Linked DNA regions of Arabidopsis thaliana. The protein of the gene in region 3 interacts with the protein of the main gene of each other region in a pairwise test. Each region holds a gene or a part of one and is shown on either strand. Other genes may lie near its edges. The genes, in order: AT1G54540, AT3G22060 and AOX2.

Evidence for each region.
Region 1: the proteins of AOX2 (region 3) and AT1G54540 interact in a protein complementation assay, tested with the Arabidopsis thaliana proteins (one large-scale study listed by BioGRID).
Region 2: the proteins of AOX2 (region 3) and AT3G22060 interact in a protein complementation assay, tested with the Arabidopsis thaliana proteins (one large-scale study listed by BioGRID).

The regions. Positions count from the first base shown.
Region 1 is NC_003070.9:20,365,848-20,371,417, forward strand, and holds AT1G54540 (Late embryogenesis abundant (LEA) hydroxyproline-rich glycoprotein family), read right to left. Parts: upstream 2,665-5,570; 5' UTR 2,575-2,664; coding exon 1,855-2,574; 3' UTR 1,706-1,854; downstream 1-1,705. Other genes in the region: AT1G54520 (myelin-associated oligodendrocyte basic protein), read left to right, coding at 1-27; AT1G54530 (Calcium-binding EF hand family protein), read left to right, coding at 658-1,041; AT1G54550 (F-box and associated interaction domains-containing protein), read left to right, coding at 3,842-4,930.
Region 2 is NC_003074.8:7,768,440-7,774,552, forward strand, and holds AT3G22060 (Receptor-like protein kinase-related family protein), read left to right. Parts: upstream 1-2,459; 5' UTR 2,460-2,625; coding exon 2,626-2,952; intron 2,953-3,266; coding exon 3,267-3,698; 3' UTR 3,699-3,918; downstream 3,919-6,113. Other genes in the region: AT3G22057 (cysteine-rich repeat secretory protein), read left to right, coding at 907-1,110, 1,192-1,251, 1,562-1,822.
Region 3 is NC_003076.8:25,683,270-25,689,873, forward strand, and holds AOX2 (alternative oxidase 2), read right to left. Parts: upstream 2,463-6,604; 5' UTR 2,396-2,462; coding exon 2,203-2,395; intron 2,116-2,202; coding exon 1,925-2,115; intron 1,837-1,924; coding exon 1,708-1,836; intron 1,487-1,707; coding exon 998-1,486; intron 756-997; coding exon 696-755; 3' UTR 501-695; downstream 1-500. Other genes in the region: SC35 (serine/arginine-rich splicing factor-like protein, putative), read right to left, coding at 35-113, 209-284; AT5G64220 (Calmodulin-binding transcription activator protein with CG-1 and Ankyrin domain), read left to right, coding at 3,165-3,204, 3,513-3,632, 3,895-4,010, 4,164-4,252, 4,658-4,700, 4,852-4,984, 5,126-5,248, 5,332-5,591 and 2 more. UniProt on the Arabidopsis thaliana protein: Catalyzes the cyanide-resistant oxidation of ubiquinol and the reduction of molecular oxygen to water, but does not translocate protons and consequently is not linked to oxidative phosphorylation.

The DNA.
Region 1 (5,570 bases), on a different chromosome or scaffold from region 3:
GATTACCCACTTTTGAGGCCTTTGTAAATCATTGTGATAATACCAAATAGAACCAATCTCTTGTTAGACGGTACAGTTTCTTACTCTGTAAAGTGTAAAACACACCATAACTTTGTTTTTATACCACAAACCTCTATGACCGGTTACCTAAACCGGAAATGAAGGCAATTAAGAATCAAATTTGATACCATTAATGATGCATTTAGTATTTGTGAAATCAAAAACTTTTGTCTAACTTAAAAACTTTGTAATATCATCAATATTTCGTAAGGAAATAAAAATTCATTGTTATACTCAACATGTAAAATCATTTTAACTAACTACACAAAATCTTCTAAAAAAAAATAGGTGTATATGCAAACTAAAACTGTAAATGTGAAGACATTTACATAGTTATCAGAAAATTAACATTAAAATCATATAATTTTCAAGCTTAAAAATAAAATCAACAAGAAAAAACAAAAAACAAAACCAAAAAAAAAAAACTCATAATTTTAAAAGGTAGCTTATATTCTCTGTGGCAAAACATGCACGCAACATATTACTACGTTATCGAATCTTGTAGCATCATTTAACCAAACATCAAAGAAAAACAAAAAAATTCAAAGAGACTTTTTCCAAATTCAGATCTCAAAACACGAATTCGAGAATTCTACGATGATCGAAACAGTAATCACAAGCAAAACTCTAATCGGATTCCTTTCCGATACAAAATCATTCGAATCCATAACCAACGACTATTTCCAGATTCTAGATCTAGACAAAAACGGAATGTTGTCTCCATCGGAGCTTCGTCAAGGTCTCAACAATGTGGTAGCTGTGGAATCTGAGGTCGCTCCTGGAGACGAGACCGATAACGTGTACAATGCGATTTTCGAGAGATTCGGTGAAGATTTGGTTCCAAAAAATTTTAGGGATTTGATTGCAGAGATTTTGACGGCGATGGCGAGAGGTATCGGAAACTCGCCGGTGATTATGGTTGTGCATAATGATGGATTGATTATGAAAGCTGTTCTTCATGAATCTAAACAAGGCAAGTGATGAGATTTTTTAAAGCATTTAGAGCTTTTTATTTTTCTTTTGGGAAAATTTGATTTATAATTTGGTTATGTTTGAATTTTATATACATGAATTAATGTTGTTAATTGATAATGATTACATTGTAATTTCTTCGATTTTTACTTCTTTTTTTACTTGGGATGAATTAAACTCGAGATCGTTTGAATTTTCTCGAAATTTTATATTTCAATTCTATTGTAATTTTCGAAAGTTTTACCATTGAAAAAATAGTATAGATGTGATTCACACTACCAAACCATTCATGCTGAAGTTGATTCCATGCTATGGGCAATAGAATTTATAATCTCGATAGGTGTTACGAGTTGCTCTTTTGCTTTCGACCGTGAAGATCTTATCTCTATTGAAAAACTTTCAGTGTAGCCAACATTTGTAGTTGAGATGACGACATTTGGTTCCCTTGTATGTTTTTTTCCCTCTTCTAGTATTAATTTTCTTTCTCGTCGTTTTAATGTGCGGATCGATTGCCTTGGAAAAAGACATGAGATCGCAATAGGTTTTTTTCCCATGTAAGCACGTCGGTTCCTGAATGACTCTCTCTCTCTCTAGAAGAGAGTCTCGTTCCGACTACTTCATAGAAATTATGTTAAGCGGAAAAGAACCATTCATTTGCAATATTTTGAAATTTCAAAAATCTCTCGTAATTTAAAAAATAAAAATCAATCTTTTATTGAGAATAAAACCATTAATCCAAAATATGAATCAAATGCATAAGAAAATGATGAATTGAGTAATTAACACCAATAAAAAGTAAAAGCGCCTAGATCTAAGAACATCTCAGAGTTTGGCCTTAAAACTGCAATCACTAGCTTTGATGTTGATATTATTGTTCGTTGATAAACTATCAACAACAAGCTTACAACTCCCCAATATCCGAATCTTCTTCATCTTCAGATTTCCGAGTTTGATGGCGACAGGTGCATTCACTTTAAGATCTAACGGTACACGTCCTGTTTGTTGTTGCTGCTGCAATGCCGCCAAGACAGTGTTCCCATATTGCGCTCTTCCCGTTAGAGCCACATTTAGTTTAGTTACATTGCGATGTCCTTGATAAAACCTCGGTATAGGGCCTTCACATAGCTTTGTCTTGTCGTACCACACACCGATATGACCTCCTTTCTCGTAATAAATCCCAATCTTTTCGTTGGGATTACGAGCTGTGATCTCGACTTTAAACTCCGCGGAAAGAGAGAGGTCTAGATTGATTCCAAGGTTGGTAACTCGTAAACTGTTGACTTCGTAACTCGGGAGTTTAGGGTGGAAAACAAAGTATACAACCGCAACCGCAATTGCTAACGCGATCAATGCAATGACTAGAAGGCTTAACACCCAACAAAAGATTTTGCAGCACATATTTCGATTCTTACTAGGAATAACAGGAGGCGGAATCGGCCGTTGAACCGGAAGCAAGACTGTCTTTCCGGGAGCTGGTGTTGTTGTCTTCGTCTTGTTGGCTTCCATTTGAAGAACCGGGTGAATTTTTTGTTGATCTCCCATGGATCTACAACTTTGTATTTAGTAATACTAATGCACCAACATGTATTATATGTACTTTATTTTATATCAAAGTTTTGTCTTGTGAAGTTGTTTCCATGCATGACTTTTACCAACATCTTACCTTCCTCACCTATAACGTTGAATTAATCAGAATATATTAGAAAGACTAGAGGTTGTTCAACAGTTACAGTAATCTTTTTGTATTTAATTCGATAATAAAACAAAAACAATAAATCATTCGGTATATTGGTTTAGTTAGGATGACGACTTTGGCAACATTCCAATGTTTTCAACACATATCTTCTTTTTGTTCATCTCTATGTTCAGCAACAACCCGTATAATCAAATTCTTGAGGAAGAATTTGAAAACTACAATTTTTATGATACATTTCATAACTATCACTAATTTTTTTTTTCAAAAACACCACAAAAGGATTTATAATTTCTTTAAATACATTTTATAGAAAATATTTATAAAGTTATATAAGGTTTTATAAATTGATTCTTGAATGATTTTTTTGTAAGCAATCTCAAAAGAAGAAAGATTCAAACTTATTAAGATAGAAACTAAGAACTTAGATAGATTATTAAAACTTTATGATGCAAGGGTACTGATAGAGAAAATATTACTTCGTTGTCACCAAGAACACTATGATTCGAAATTGATACTCTTATTAAGATGAAGGAAGAGAGTTGTTTTGAGAGGACAACTCTCAAACAAAGTTACCTTCCATGGATGTTCTAACCATAAATTTATATGCTTTTGCTAGCTAAAACTCTAGTTCCATGGGCTAATAGACTTCTCAAAACACTCTATCTTAGGATTCTTTTGCATCCTTTTAAAAAAAAAGTCTTTAGTAGTTTATTTTGAGAAATGGAATCGTAAAAGTGATAGATGTCAAAGTTTCCCAATTAATATATAGTCATCACTCATCTACTCTGGAAATTTATGTTAGTCACATATCATCTGATCTATAAAGAGATTACTAAATATGTGGTGGTGCACTCTACGAACTAAATCAAGAGCTTCGTAGTTTTTAAGTAAAACTGAAAATCAGTTGCTAAACGATTTCGTAATTTTACCATATGATATAGTTAAGGATTCGATGGTTTATTTTTTTCCAAATAATAGGCCCATTTAAAAAATCTGTGCCAAAGCAAAACTTTATTACAAGCCCAACCAAAACACATATACAAACATATTAGGGTACCGAATAGGTCAATGAGACATTAAACTTGTGGAGAAAGCTGAAAACTTGGAGGAAGAATGGCGACAGTAACCGATCTACCGGATGATTTGGTAAGAGAAATATTTTCTAGGGTTCCATTGACATCTCTAAGAGCAGTGAGATCTACTTGTAAAAAGTGGAACGCTATATCGAAATATGACATCTTAGGTAAAAAAGCAGCAGCAAAGAATCAGTTCTTGGAGTTCATGGTTACAGATTCTAGGGTTTGTTCTTTGAGATTAGATCTTCAAGGAATCCGTAGCGAAGAAGATTTGATTGATCTATCTATAAAGCAAATAAGTATACCTAATAAAGTTGATCAAGTCGAGATATCTCAAGTCTATCACTGTGATGGCTTATTGTTATGCATCGCCAAAGACAACTCGAGTGTTATGGTATGGAATCCGTATTTAGGGCAGACGAAATTGATTCAACCAAGAAAAAAACTCCACAGATATGACAAGTTTGCTCTTGGATACGACAACAACCGTAACCACAAAATTTTGAGGTTTCTTTATGAGGGGAGTCCAAGAAACGTCATTATTGATGTTTACGATTTTAGCTCTGATTCATGGAGGGTTCTTGATATTGATATAGATTGGCATGAACTGTTTAGTCACAATAGCGTGTCTTTGAAGGGAAATACTTACTTTTTTGGTCGAAAGGGACCACGTTTGCCTATGCTGTTTAAACCTCCATCTCGTCGTTTTGAATATTTGACTCTATCTTGTGTTAGAAATGAGAAACTCGCTGTGTTATACAGCCACCTCAACAGATTTGGCACAATAGAGATTTGTATTTCGACTAAGATTGATCCCAGTGCAGTATCATGGACCACTTTTTTGAGAATTGATATGACACTAATCAATGGTTTACCGGATAACTTTTTTGTTCACTCTTATGCTACGAGCTTTTTCTTCGATGAGGAGAAGAAGGTCGCTGTGCTTTTCGGTACAAACAGATATAGAGGACGTGAGACCTGTCAGTACTACCAGAGAGCTTGCATCGTTGGAGATAGTGGATACTTCAAAGCTGTCAACATCGAACTAGTTTTCAATTCACAGCTGCAATCTTGCCAACTTGTGAGCTCTTCTTATGTTCCAAGTTTAGTGCAACTGCAAGATTAGTCCGTTTTCTTTAAACATTTTATTTGTTTTTTGCGTTGAACAAGACTGCTTTTAGGTTGAAGAAATAGTTGATAGAAGTTTCATTTTCTATGAAGGCTGATTTTTTTGTTTCTTGCTTTGAACAAGACTGCTTTTAGTTCTAAAGATCACCAGAGAACAGTTTATCTAGGGTTTTCAGGAATTAATCTATAGAGAGTAACAAAGTTTTTATAACAAATGCATGCATGAGGGATCAGCTACATAAATTGCAAGACTTGAATTATAATTAATATGAAGGAGAGTGACTACTATTTATAAATCCGAGACGATAGTTTTCAGTTAGCATTGGTCAATTTTAAAGTTCTTGCAAAGTTCGGGCTTACTGAATGGTCTTAGACATTATATCCAATTCAATGACAGCTCCATTGGAAAACAATTTGATTCCATTTCAAACTTGTTTATGAATGCTTATGAAAGTCAAAGGAGGTAATTAGACAAGTTTGAAACTAAAACAAAAAAAAAAACTTATCCAGATATGCTTGTTCGATAAATCCAGATCTTTTGTATGTATACTGTTTTGGAACTTATTTTAGTCGTGGAAAATTTAGTTTACTATTTTTAACAGCTTTCTTTATACAGACTTATGTTGAAATGTTTTGCA
Region 2 (6,113 bases), on a different chromosome or scaffold from region 3:
CAAGATTTTTGGGTACGAGCTGTAATATTAGGTATGAGCTATACCCTTTTCTTTCGACTTAAGGACTCTTTGATGATGATGCATAACACATGAACTCTTCCAATTGTAATTTTGGTTTGTTTACTTTCCCATTTTTTTTGTTTTTTTTTGTTTTTGCCTATCTCCCACTTTGTTTGTTTGGTATTGTTTAGCTTAGCTTCCCTGCTTTGTTTGTTTAGGTCACACCTATCTCTAAAACATTATTTGAATATAAACTTCCTTATGTATCGTTTTGACTAATAGTTTTACAAGATTAGTGACTCAAAACAGAATTAACAAATAAATATATACAAATAATATCATTTTTTATTTAAAAATGAGTAGCTAGTCTTTTCTCACGTATCATGCTTATAACTAGAACTTGACAAAATACTCGTACCCGAAGAAAAGAACAGCAACGGAGGCATCAAATTGAAGCAGAACCGACACAAATACTCGAATTGATTTTTTAAAATTCTTATATCCAAAAAAACGAAACTGAATTGAAAACCGAATGAATATCCAAAATATACATGGTCTAATCAATTAATCAGTAAGCATGGAAGATGAGATAATTGCCATGATACAGTTTAGCAAAATCCCGAGAGCCAAAATCATATCGAACAAGTGGTTTACAATATGATTCTATTTTGTATTTTCTAAGAGTTTTAACATTTTTACTTTTGACTTTTTCATCGGCCCTCCCCATCTCTCGCCGAAAGATACACAACCCCTCTCTCAATTCTGTTACAAACAAGGAAAAATATTTCTTCTTCAATCTAAAGTGATCAATCAAATTTTGTAAACAAGAATATTGTTTTGAGATATATAGTTAATCTAGTTACTAATGAGACCAATCAGCTAAAAACTCCTTCTGAGTCTTCTTATATGAACAAAACAATGTACTCTTCATATTCTTTATCCAAACGTCTTGTTTCTATCCCTATCTTGGCTATACAACTCCTTCTCATACGCAGTGTCTCGTCACTGAACCTTACCAATGACTATCTTAACCACAAATGCCTCGTCAGTCAAGGGAAATATAGGCCTGGAGATAAGTACGAGGACAACCTCAACTTTCTCACCCGTGAAGTCTTATCCTATAATTTTCCAACCGGCTTCATACACATCTCTTATGGCGAAGCTCCCAGTTTTGTCGCCATCATACTACAGTGCCGCGGCGACTCCTACGACTCCAAGTGCCTCTCCTGCTATGCCACCGCCCTTTCCGGGGTAATGTCACTTCAGCATTATTAATTAGCCGTCGCATATCGAAAGAAACACCAAAAAATGTTTTCTATTGTGATTTTACTCGGTATGATTTCAAATATTTAAAAATTAAATCATCAAATCTATCTTTAACATATATAAACATGTATATCTCTTGCATGTTAAGATATATATTTGCATTGATTAGTTAAATCATTACTCAAAAAATGAAACAATCACATGTATGTATATGGCAGCTTCGTAGGAGATGTCAGAGGAACAAAGGAAGAGTAATATGGTACGACCAATGTTTTCTCTTCATTAATTCCATCAGATCATCCCCAAGGAAGAACGATTAAAGGAATGTTTTCTCTATGCACAACCCAAACAACATGATCGAGGACACGGAATTGTTCAACAAGAAAACAAGGGATTTCCTCTACGAGCTCATGCTGGAAGCCACTACACCCAACAGGACAATGATGCTTTACGCAGCAGGGGAGAAGAAGCTAGGGACAAAGAAATTGTATGCAATGGTACAGTGTGCGCAAGACATATTGCGATGAAAGGGTTGTTTGGAATGGAGTATCAATGAGCTTTCCAAGTGCTGCCACGGTAAACAAGGAGCAAGAGTTTTGGGAACAGAGTGTACTCTTAGGTATGAGCTATACCCTTTTCTTAGGAGTTAAAAGTTTGTTTGGTCGATGATGATGTAGAAGACAATCTCTTGACAACTTTCCTATTTTGTTTGGTTTTGTTTTCTTAATTTTGTTTTATTTTTGGTTACAAGTCAAAACTTTTTTGGTTTGAAATAATATAATGTATAAATCCCTTTTAAATTAGTGAAAACCCTCAAACAAGAAAAAGAACAAAAAAAAAAATTGATTTAATATATTTGAGCAGTTAAAGGGAGAAAATTATCATTTAGATAAAATACATTTAAAAAAAAAGAATTTATGTCCACACCGTACATATCTTAGTTTCACTCAGTCAAACCTTTGAATGTTGACTTTTTCATTCACCGCAATACCAAGTTCCCCTCAACTCATGGCCCTCTACTTTACATTTCTAATTTCATCTAGAAGCTTGAAATGAAAGTTGGATCAAATGGGACAAAAAATTGTTGTTTTGACATAATTGCTTCATCTTAGCCAATCAGCTAAATTGACTTCTTTTTTGTTCAAAGGAACTCTCGTGATTGGAAAATGACCAAATCCCAATTGTACAAAAATGAAAACTTCAACCCATTCTAATATTTATTAAATAAATAAATAACTTGTCTCACCACCCAAAGACCAAAATCATCTAGCCACTCTATAAAACATCCTTACCTCAACACTTCTTCTATCAAAAAAAAAAAAGACACCCTCCACAAAATATCAATTTTCTTCCAAAACAATGTCTTCATTAAAACGCATCGTTTGGTTCCCTATCTTGGCCATAGCCATACAAATTCTCTCTATACATACCGTTTTGTCTCAAAGCCAGAACAATGCGTTTCTCTTCCACAAGTGCTCAGACATCGAAGGAAGCTTTACCTCAAAAAGTCTCTACGAGTCAAATCTCAACAATCTCTTTAGTCAGCTCTCTTACAAAGTTCCATCCACCGGTTTTGCCGCCTCCTCCACTGGCAACACTCCAAACAACGTCAACGGTTTGGCCCTTTGCCGCGGTGATGCCTCCTCCTCTGACTGCCGCTCTTGTCTTGAGACTGCCATCCCCGAGGTAACCACACAATATTTACATAAGTTTTTCTACATCTTAGTGATATATATAGAAACCGCAGATTAAGTACAAAACAAAACTAGGTTATAATTAGTTTATTTACATTTCTAATGCCAATTTTTTAATTCATACCCTTTTCTTTTTTGAAACTACAATCTATAATTAGAGACTGGCTAAATTTCATTTGGAAAAATGCTATTCTATTGATAAAAAATAGTTGGAAAAAAAGATATTATATATTGGAACGGCAAGAGAAGCATAAATAGTATATCGAGTTCAATGATGGTTCTTGACGTTGGTGTCACATATGACAGCTACGTCAGAGATGTCCGAACAACAAGGCGGGAATAGTATGGTATGACAACTGTCTTGTAAAGTATTCCTCGACCAATTTCTTCGGGAAGATAGATTTCGAGAACAGGTTCTATTTGTACAACGTCAAAAATGTGAGTGATCCATCAACATTCAACTCGCAGACGAAAGCTCTTTTAACCGAGCTGACAAAGAAAGCGACTACTAGAGATAACCAGAAGCTATTTGCGACAGGAGAGAAAAATATCGGAAAGAATAAATTGTACGGACTAGTGCAATGTACGAGGGACTTGAAGAGTATTACTTGTAAGGCGTGTTTAAATGGAATTATTGGGGAGCTTCCTAACTGTTGCGACGGTAAAGAAGGAGGGAGAGTTGTGGGTGGGAGCTGTAACTTTAGGTATGAGATTTACCCTTTTGTTAAGACTGCTTGATTAGAGGTCCAAGTTAAAAGGGGGTCCAATGCCAAACACGGTCTTAATTTGTGATTATTGTCAATGTGATATGTATTGTATGTTGTTGTTTGTATAATGTGTTGAGCCAGTAAAATGTAATCTTCTCTTTGTGGGTTATTTGTACGATAGACACGATTATAGAGGCTTGACTCCTATAAATAAAAACATTCCCTTTGCCAAATATTTTCTAGACTTGAACCACAACCCACAGAAGCAAATATCATCGTTCATAATGCTTAGACTGTATGGCAGATTCAACTGTTTCAAAGGGAAATCTATTTGTCTACTACTTCAAATTTTAATTGATGTTAAAAACACAAAACATTTTTCAATATATATGTTTATATTGACAATTTGTGTGCCAACCATTTAAAAAAAAATAGTAAATGCAAAAACTCTTTATTTTTTTCTGTTTGTATCAATAGTTTTGAAAAATATATTTGACAGAAACCTGGAAATATACTGTATGTAAATAAATAAAAACACACCAGTAATGTGTCGTATTGCTATAAACTTGACCAAAAAATCATTAATTTTTTTTTTTTGGAAGTCGTCTTGATTTTCTAAGTTCATTTACATATATTTGTCTTCTAATCAAGTTTAGTTATGTTAATGTTTTTGGATAGAACCAAGTGTCGTTAGCTCAATTCGTAAAGATCCTACGCAAAGCTTAGAGGTCGCCGGTTCGAATGACATTTAGAACAAAACTAATGTTACATAATGTGGTTTCGGGTCTGGGATTACGGACTTCAACCCAAAACCTCCTAGATTTAAAAAAAAAAAAATGCTTTTGGATAGAAAATCTAAATTTCATCAAAGTATATATGAGAGACTCAGAAAATGTTTTACATTATGAGGTGCTGATTGGTTTGTTGACTAAAAGATTTTAAACGTCAACGGATAACTAGGAGAAGATATTGGTCACATGTGCTATGCTGAGTCATTGCGATGAAGACAGGTCAACGAAGGAGGAGAACCACGTTGCTCCTTCGCTTTTTCCCAATCCTTTCTTTGTGCGTAAGCGGCGACCACTACCACGAAAATCCCGCATAATATTCTGAAAAAATTCTCACAGTTTTCGGATAAAATCGTACACTCAGGACAAAAATAAGAATGCAAGATACAAATATAGAAACCCTATATGAAAAGGACAACATTAAACTAAATTCTAATTCTATTGATATTAAGGACCTATATTTTCAAAGTTTAAAGGACTGCTCATTAAGAATTACGAAACAATAAAATTGTTTGTCCCCCATCATTGGTCAAATCAAAGATAAGCCTATACGCACTTCCGTATACTTAAAGTTTGACTTGATAACTATACAAATCATGTTCAAATGGTAAGGTTGCTGTCACTCCTCGAGTCCGAAACTTAGGGATCGGTCAACAGAGCTAGTGTTAATCAGATGTGAATCTCTTATAATAAGCATAAAATCAAACTATTAGTATTTATTGAATTAAAAACTCAATGATTTGTTCTCCAGAGCTAGATATTTTAATGGTACAGAGAGGCAGACGTTTTTCTTTTGGTAATCAAGGTCTGACCCATGTAATCTAGAGATCAGAGCAAGTTATATAAGTCTTGTCTTCCTTGTAGATATCGGCACTCATAACCTTAAAAGTTCTTTTTTTAGGTGGCCACTGGCCAGCTTGCCATAGTCAGTCTCAGTCCAATTGGTCTACAGGTTTAAAGCAAATTTATCAAAATTAGACCAATAAATCAAAATATTTTAATGTACTTTTTCTATCATATCTTCAACCATTCTAGAAATATTTTAAAATATATAAATTATTCGTTCGAAGTTTTAAACTTTAAACTAGTAACCTATTTTATCTTAAAAATTTTAAGTGTAGTTTGAAATAATGATTAGCAAATTTATTAGATTAACATACATAAGAGGGAACAGGTTTATATAATGTTGGAACTAAAAGGAAAATATTAAAAAATGAAAAAAAAAAACATAGGGACAAAAAGAACATTATATGGGAAAGACAAACCATCAAATGTAAGAACAAATGGATTGTACATTTAGGGTATGAACCCAAGCGTGGACTCTAAGAAAAGCTCAACCCCTTTCTAAGCCCAGCAATATACGTATATAGTTGGGAATTCCACGTGAAGAACAACACATGTATTAAAGGTCAGGCCAAATGTTTGTAAGAATTTTACCCAAAAAAAAATGTTTGTAAGAAGTATTCACTATTCAGTATCACAAATAATAGTCACTTTATAAGAATCAGATTCCAACGATAAAAGCGTTGTCACATCGACAACAAATTTTTAGTCTTGAGCCCATTTAGTAAGCCCATAATATAATATTTTCTTTGACATGGAACTGGCCCATAGTAAAACATCTAAACCGAGATGCTAGTAATTTAGTATAGTTTTTA
Region 3 (6,604 bases):
AATTCCTCAGTCGGAGAAGAAGAAGAAATTGGACCTTCGATCTCTGGGAATAAACACATCAACGACCTTTCCATACTTTGCGAATAGAGGATAGAGATCATCAGCAGTCGTACCTACACATAACAACAAAACCTAATCTCTTAGAAACCCCCAGTTCACGAAAATTGATTAGAGGTTGAGAAACAGAAATAGGGACTTGAGAGATTACGGAAGGTGATGTTAAGGACGAGAAGTGAGTAGGTGTCGCTGATATCCGGTGGACCTGACCTTCCGAAGTGCGACATGGTTTTCCCGCCGGCGGAGAAATTGGGAGCGCGAGAGAGAGACGAAGTGAAATTAGGTTAAAGCTTTTCTGAAACAATGGAATCTACTAGATACGGGGACATTTTTTTTAAAGCTTGACGTTGTTGTTAATTACATTTGTACCCCTTGACGAAGACACAAAAAAAAGAAGATAATCGAACCGGATGATACCGAGTTTGGTTCGTATCGGTTCAGCAGCGATTGGGACGGTTGAGACGCAATTTTATTATAGTCTGAAACATTTTTACCAAAACAATTCTGCAATTTACAAACACCGGTACATCTCTAACACCTTTAAAACATATTTTAGCACATTCAAACAAATTCATATCCAAAATCATTAAAAAAAACAAACAGAAAAACTCCAAGTAGGATACTCTTTTGAAATTGGTTTAGTGATAACCAATCGGAGCTGCTGCTTCTCGCAACTCTTTTCCTTGATTGCGAATGTCCTGCAAATAACTCACAATATTAACAATTCAAAAACACCACACAACATAACAAATCCACAGATTTTTAAAATTCATTGATTTATATTAAAAACTATGAACTTGTATGTATCCACACACCAAATGTCGTTGATTCTACTACTTATATCATTTGTTATTTTAATATCACCGAAATGGACCCGAAGAAATGTATGAAACTCGGGAGTTTTGGAAAAAAAATAAAAGGGTTGTTGTTTTAGACTCACAGAAGCAAAATGGTTGACATCTCGATGATGAGCTTCATCAGCACGAATCACCGTTACAACATCTTTCAACGTAGCATCTTTAGGCAATCTCCAATAATCAATAGCAATCGCGGGCGCGGCAACATTCTCGATCTTCCCATTGTCGATATCTTTAAGAAACTCGGTGTAAGAATGTATAGCTTCTTCCTCTAAATATCCAACGACCCTATGAGCTAACCGCGGGGAAATCACGTAACAAACGAAAAAAGAGTTGAAGAATATTCCTTGAACAAGCATCACTAGAAGACGCTCGTACCATTTGGGTTTGACTAACTCCATCATCGTCATTAGATGCATCCTCTCGTTCTCTGCTTCTTCGAGTAATGCTTTGATCCAACCGCCGCTATGTTCGAATTTTCGGATTGATTTTAGGTGAAGAAGCATTCCTCCAACCATTCCTGGTACTGCAGCTACTGTCTCTAGCATCATCGCTCTGCATCCATATCGTCTCTGCTGACCAAACATATATTTAACATTAAGGAACAAAAAATGTAAAACATTAGCATGTGAAGTGAAACAGTGAATCCATACGTATGTATATATGTGAATCATGGTAGGATAATATGTGCATACAAAATTACAAACCAAACCAAACCGAATCAGCTAAATAAACCAATGAACATATTAAACGAATCAACGTTTCATTTTAAAATTTGAAATTACAGTCATGCCTGAAAAAATATATCGGTGGGAATACGGAGGAGCTTGACAATCCGGTAAGCGACTTTGTCGGCGATATTCTTCGGAACGTGGTGCTTCTTCAAATCTATCGACAGATTTGCTTGATAAGTCTCCCATGGCTGTTCAAAATATACTTAAGTCATATATCTACTACATATAAAAGAGTGCTTAATTTGTCTACGAACTTTGGGATGTGTATAAGTTTACCATAAAACAGTTCCAAGGCCAATCCGATCCATCTTTCCGAGTAATTTTCATCTTTGCTGTCTCTATTCCCCAATAACTTGGAACCGCTACTGACCCCCCGCCGTTTTGACCCTTCTTTACCGTCAAATTTTCATCTTTCTTCTCCATCGCCGATGCAGAACTCATACCCATCCACCTCAAGTTAAAATTTCCTATTCAAATTTTAGAAATATACAAATCCTAATTATCATGTACAATTGTTATAAGGTTGTATGAGGATCATCTACAGATATGCACACCTTGCACATGCTTAGAGCCGATCTTGAAATCGCCAAAACCGCCGCACCAGTCATGAATTCGCATCGGTGCCGTTATCTCATACGGACTTTTCATAACAGAGGTGGAGGAAACAGAACTCACGAACATGTTACAGTTTCCTCTGCCGCAGACAAGCAGAACTCGTAAAGCTGCTTTCGTAATGAGTTGACTCATCTTACGACACTCTCTCGTATACTTATAGATTCACTTCTCAGATAAGAGGCTTGTTCTCTGACTGAAAGAAAATGATTCAACTCTGTTTTTTCTCGAAAGAAAGTGTAAGTAGGGGAAACAAGAAGGAAATAAAAAATGACGTTATCAGCTGATACGCGGCGAATACTGCTGAATACACGTGGCTCATATCCAACTGTTGCTTTACTTTTAAGATAACTATTTTTAAAAAAACGAATGCACATTTTTTAAGTTTGTCCGAATCTTGAAGTGGCGTTCAGCAGACAGAGCGCACGTGAATCTGGTCTTGACTGAACTGTCCGGTCCAATATCTTTTGGTTTGGTTTAATTCGGATTAATAGATTGTCTCCTTAAGAAAAGTTCCTAAAAGGAACATTAATTATAATTACATTCATGAATCAATTTAGCAAAAGTACACACATTGAATAAAAATTTCATCCACGTGTCCACGTGTAAGGTTTGTATTGGATAAAAATGTTTTGGTTCACTAAATTTATAAAACAACCTCCACCATATCGGCGCTTTCCTTCCGATTTCGTCCTCCCCCAGAAAATAGAGAGGAAAAAAGGAAAAAAAGTAATCATCGATTCGCTTTCACAACCTGGAAAGCTCGAAAAGAGGAAAAAAATTCTAAAGAGCTTATCAAGCTCACTTCATACACCTAGATCGATTTAGGGTTCGTTTGATTTTTTTTTTTCTGTGATTGCGACAGCTAGAGATCTATCTCTGGTGGATTTTGGGTTTATGTTCCATGGCGGATCGCGGATCTTTCGGATTTGCTCCTCGATTAGGTCTCTCTACCATTTCGCCATATCTAGGGTTTTTGCTATCTTCCTTTTCGTGTTTTGTACTCCTTTTTAGTTGTTTTGGATCTGATCATTACTAGTTTTTCGTTTTGTTGCATTTTAGTGAAGGGAAGGATTTCTAGCTTGTTGAATTACGATTTATATTTTGCTTCTTAGTTGTTCCCGCTTAAGTTGTATTGCTCTGTTACATTTGATATTTTGATTGATGTTGGTTAGTGCAAGAGAGTGTTAGTGGATGTTTAGCTACAGAGTTGTAGTATCAATGTGTTTCTTACCCTTTTATGAACTTGTAGATATCAAGCAATTGCTGTCAGAAGCACAACACAGGTGGCTGAGACCTGCTGAGATTTGTGAAATTCTTCGGAATCATCAGAAGTTTCATATTGCGTCAGAGCCTCCCAACCGACCACCCAGTATGTTTCTTGCTGATTTTCTTCATTTTTGTTTGCAATATATTCTTATTTTTTGAGCTGTACAATCAATAGATGCTGAATAAGTTACATTAGCTTGGGTTTTATTTCTGTCTTGCTTTAACGAACTTTATGCTTGACGTGTTCACTCCCCCGTTTATCCTGTTAGTCCTGAATAGTTCAGAAGTTTTGCGTGTTGTGTGCCTTGACAATAATTTATTGCGGTTTGTCTTCTCTAATTAACAGAAATTCCCTGCTCTTCTAGGTGGTTCACTCTTTCTCTTCGATAGGAAGGTGCTCAGATATTTCCGAAAAGACGGGCACAATTGGAGGAAGAAGAAAGATGGGAAAACAGTGAAAGAGGCTCACGAAAAGCTGAAGGTTAATATTTCTATTTATGTGTCCTCGTTAAATATTAGTGCAGATTAATGCAATGACCTTGAAACCAATTCCTTGGTTTTACTACTGATTTTTCTAGCTGATAATGCAACATCTCAATGTTAGAGAGTAATAAGATTGTGTAAGTATACACAGGTAGGAAGCATTGATGTGTTACATTGTTACTATGCACATGGAGAAGATAATGAGAACTTCCAGAGGCGGTGCTACTGGATGCTTGAACAGTGAGTCTATCTATGTTTGTCCACATTTCATATGTTTTGCTCTGTTTAGTATCATAAGCGTTAGTTTTTCAGCATTTATGTGCTTTGTATAAAGTGTGCATGGTAGTCTGCTAGTGTCCTGGGAATGGCCTTTTTATTGTATTAGCAGAAAATGAGCTAGAAGGGCTATAGAAAGGAATATTATTATAATTTCCGAGATTCTGCTATAAAACATCAATTTCTAAGTTGTGAGATGAAATCGAGGATAATGTTTATACAAGACAAGACTGAACCAAAGGCATTTCACGTGATCTCTAAAATCCCTATCTTCTGGAATGAAATGTGCTTGTTGGTACTTTTCTTCATTTATTGTCACTTTTCAGTGTTAGTGCTCATGTCCACTGTTTGTGTGTTACATGGATACAGGGATCTGATGCACATTGTTTTCGTTCACTACTTGGAGGTTAAGGTATAGCTTTTGTTTTGTACTGTACTAATATATTCTTAAAATATGAACTTCCATCGCTCAACACTATATCTTCCTTTTTAAGTGGATGCTGTCTTTCCTATGTGTGGTTTTGTTATAGTCATCTTATATTGTACGTCATGCTATTATACAGGGTAACCGAATGAGTACCAGTGGAACTAAAGAAAACCATTCAAATTCTCTGAGTGGCACGGGTTCTGTAAATGTTGATTCCACAGCAACCCGATCCAGCATATTGTCACCATTATGTGAAGATGCTGATTCTGGTATATAATTTCTCTCTTATATAATCTGCTTTAGTATCTTTTTGTTTAAGAGTGTAGATCTTTCAGTGATGAGACTTTGTGGTTGATTGTATTGCTGCTCGTGGTTCTGCTTCAACACAAACTAATATCATTTTGACGCAGGGGATAGTCGTCAAGCAAGTTCCAGTTTGCAACAAAATCCTGAACCTCAAACTGTTGTTCCTCAGATTATGCATCATCAGAATGCTAGCACAATCAATTCTTACAATACAACCTCTGTTTTGGGTACTTCATTTGCTTTCTGTTTTACAAGCTTCCTTGCCTTACCAAATTCCTGCATGTTTGCTGAGATTGTCTTCTCTTCCTAGGAAATCGAGATGGTTGGACGTCAGCTCATGGGAACAGGGTCAAAGGAAGTAACTCCCAAAGATCAGGTGATGTCCCAGCATGGGATGCTTCCTTTGAGAATTCATTGGCAAGATACCAGAATCTACCTTATAATGCTCCGTTGACTCAGACACAGCCTTCTACTTTTGGTTTGATCCCCATGGAAGGGAAAACAGAGAAAGGTTCCCTGTTAACGTCAGAGCATCTTAGAAATCCTCTTCAAAGTCAAGTAAATTGGCAGGTGATATATGCTTGCTTATAGCTAAGCTATTCATTTTAAATCTAAGTAGGATTTGTGCCTATGTTTGTATTATGGTGCCACTGTTTAATTTGTTTACTTAATCATTCAAGCATGAATTTTCTCATCATGAATGTTGGTTCTTTGAAAATATCTGATTTTGAGTTTCTCTTCTCTATAGACTCCTGTTCAGGAAAGCGTGCCATTGCAAAAATGGCCCATGGATTCGCATTCTGGAATGACTGATGCTACTGATCTTGCCTTATTTGGGCAAGGAGCACATGAAAATTTTGGGACATTTTCCAGTCTTCTTGGTAGTCAAGATCAACAGTCTAGTAGTTTCCAAGCTCCTTTCACAAATAATGAAGCAGCATATATACCTAAATTAGGCCCCGAGGATCTTATATATGAAGCAAGTGCAAATCAAACACTACCTCTTAGAAAAGCATTGTTAAAAAAAGAGGATAGTTTGAAAAAGGTTGACAGTTTCTCTCGGTGGGTTAGTAAAGAACTTGGGGAGATGGAAGACTTGCAGATGCAATCTTCATCTGGAGGTATTGCATGGACTTCTGTTGAATGTGAAAACGCAGCAGCTGGGTCTTCCTTAAGTCCTTCTCTGTCCGAGGATCAGCGCTTCACTATGATCGACTTTTGGCCCAAATGGACTCAGACAGACTCAGAAGTTGAGGTAATTTTTAGTGTTATTTTTGAAAAAATGGTTTTGTGGTGTAGCATTCAGTTAAGATGGTCTTTGGCTAATCCAATTTGCCAAACTTAAATGAAGATTTTTTTTTCGTATAACACCTTTGATAATCAATCTTTCTGCAAGTAGTAAGCCTGTATACGTTTAGGAACAGTACTTTCTTTCTGCTGTTCTGCTCTGTTTCTTCCTATTTTTGAGCTCTTTGGCTTTGGAAGTTTGTTAGGAGATAACTCCTTTCTCATCTACCATTTTAATTTTCGAACAGGTAATGGTTATCGGGACATTTCTGTTGAGTCCTCAGGAAGTAACTAGC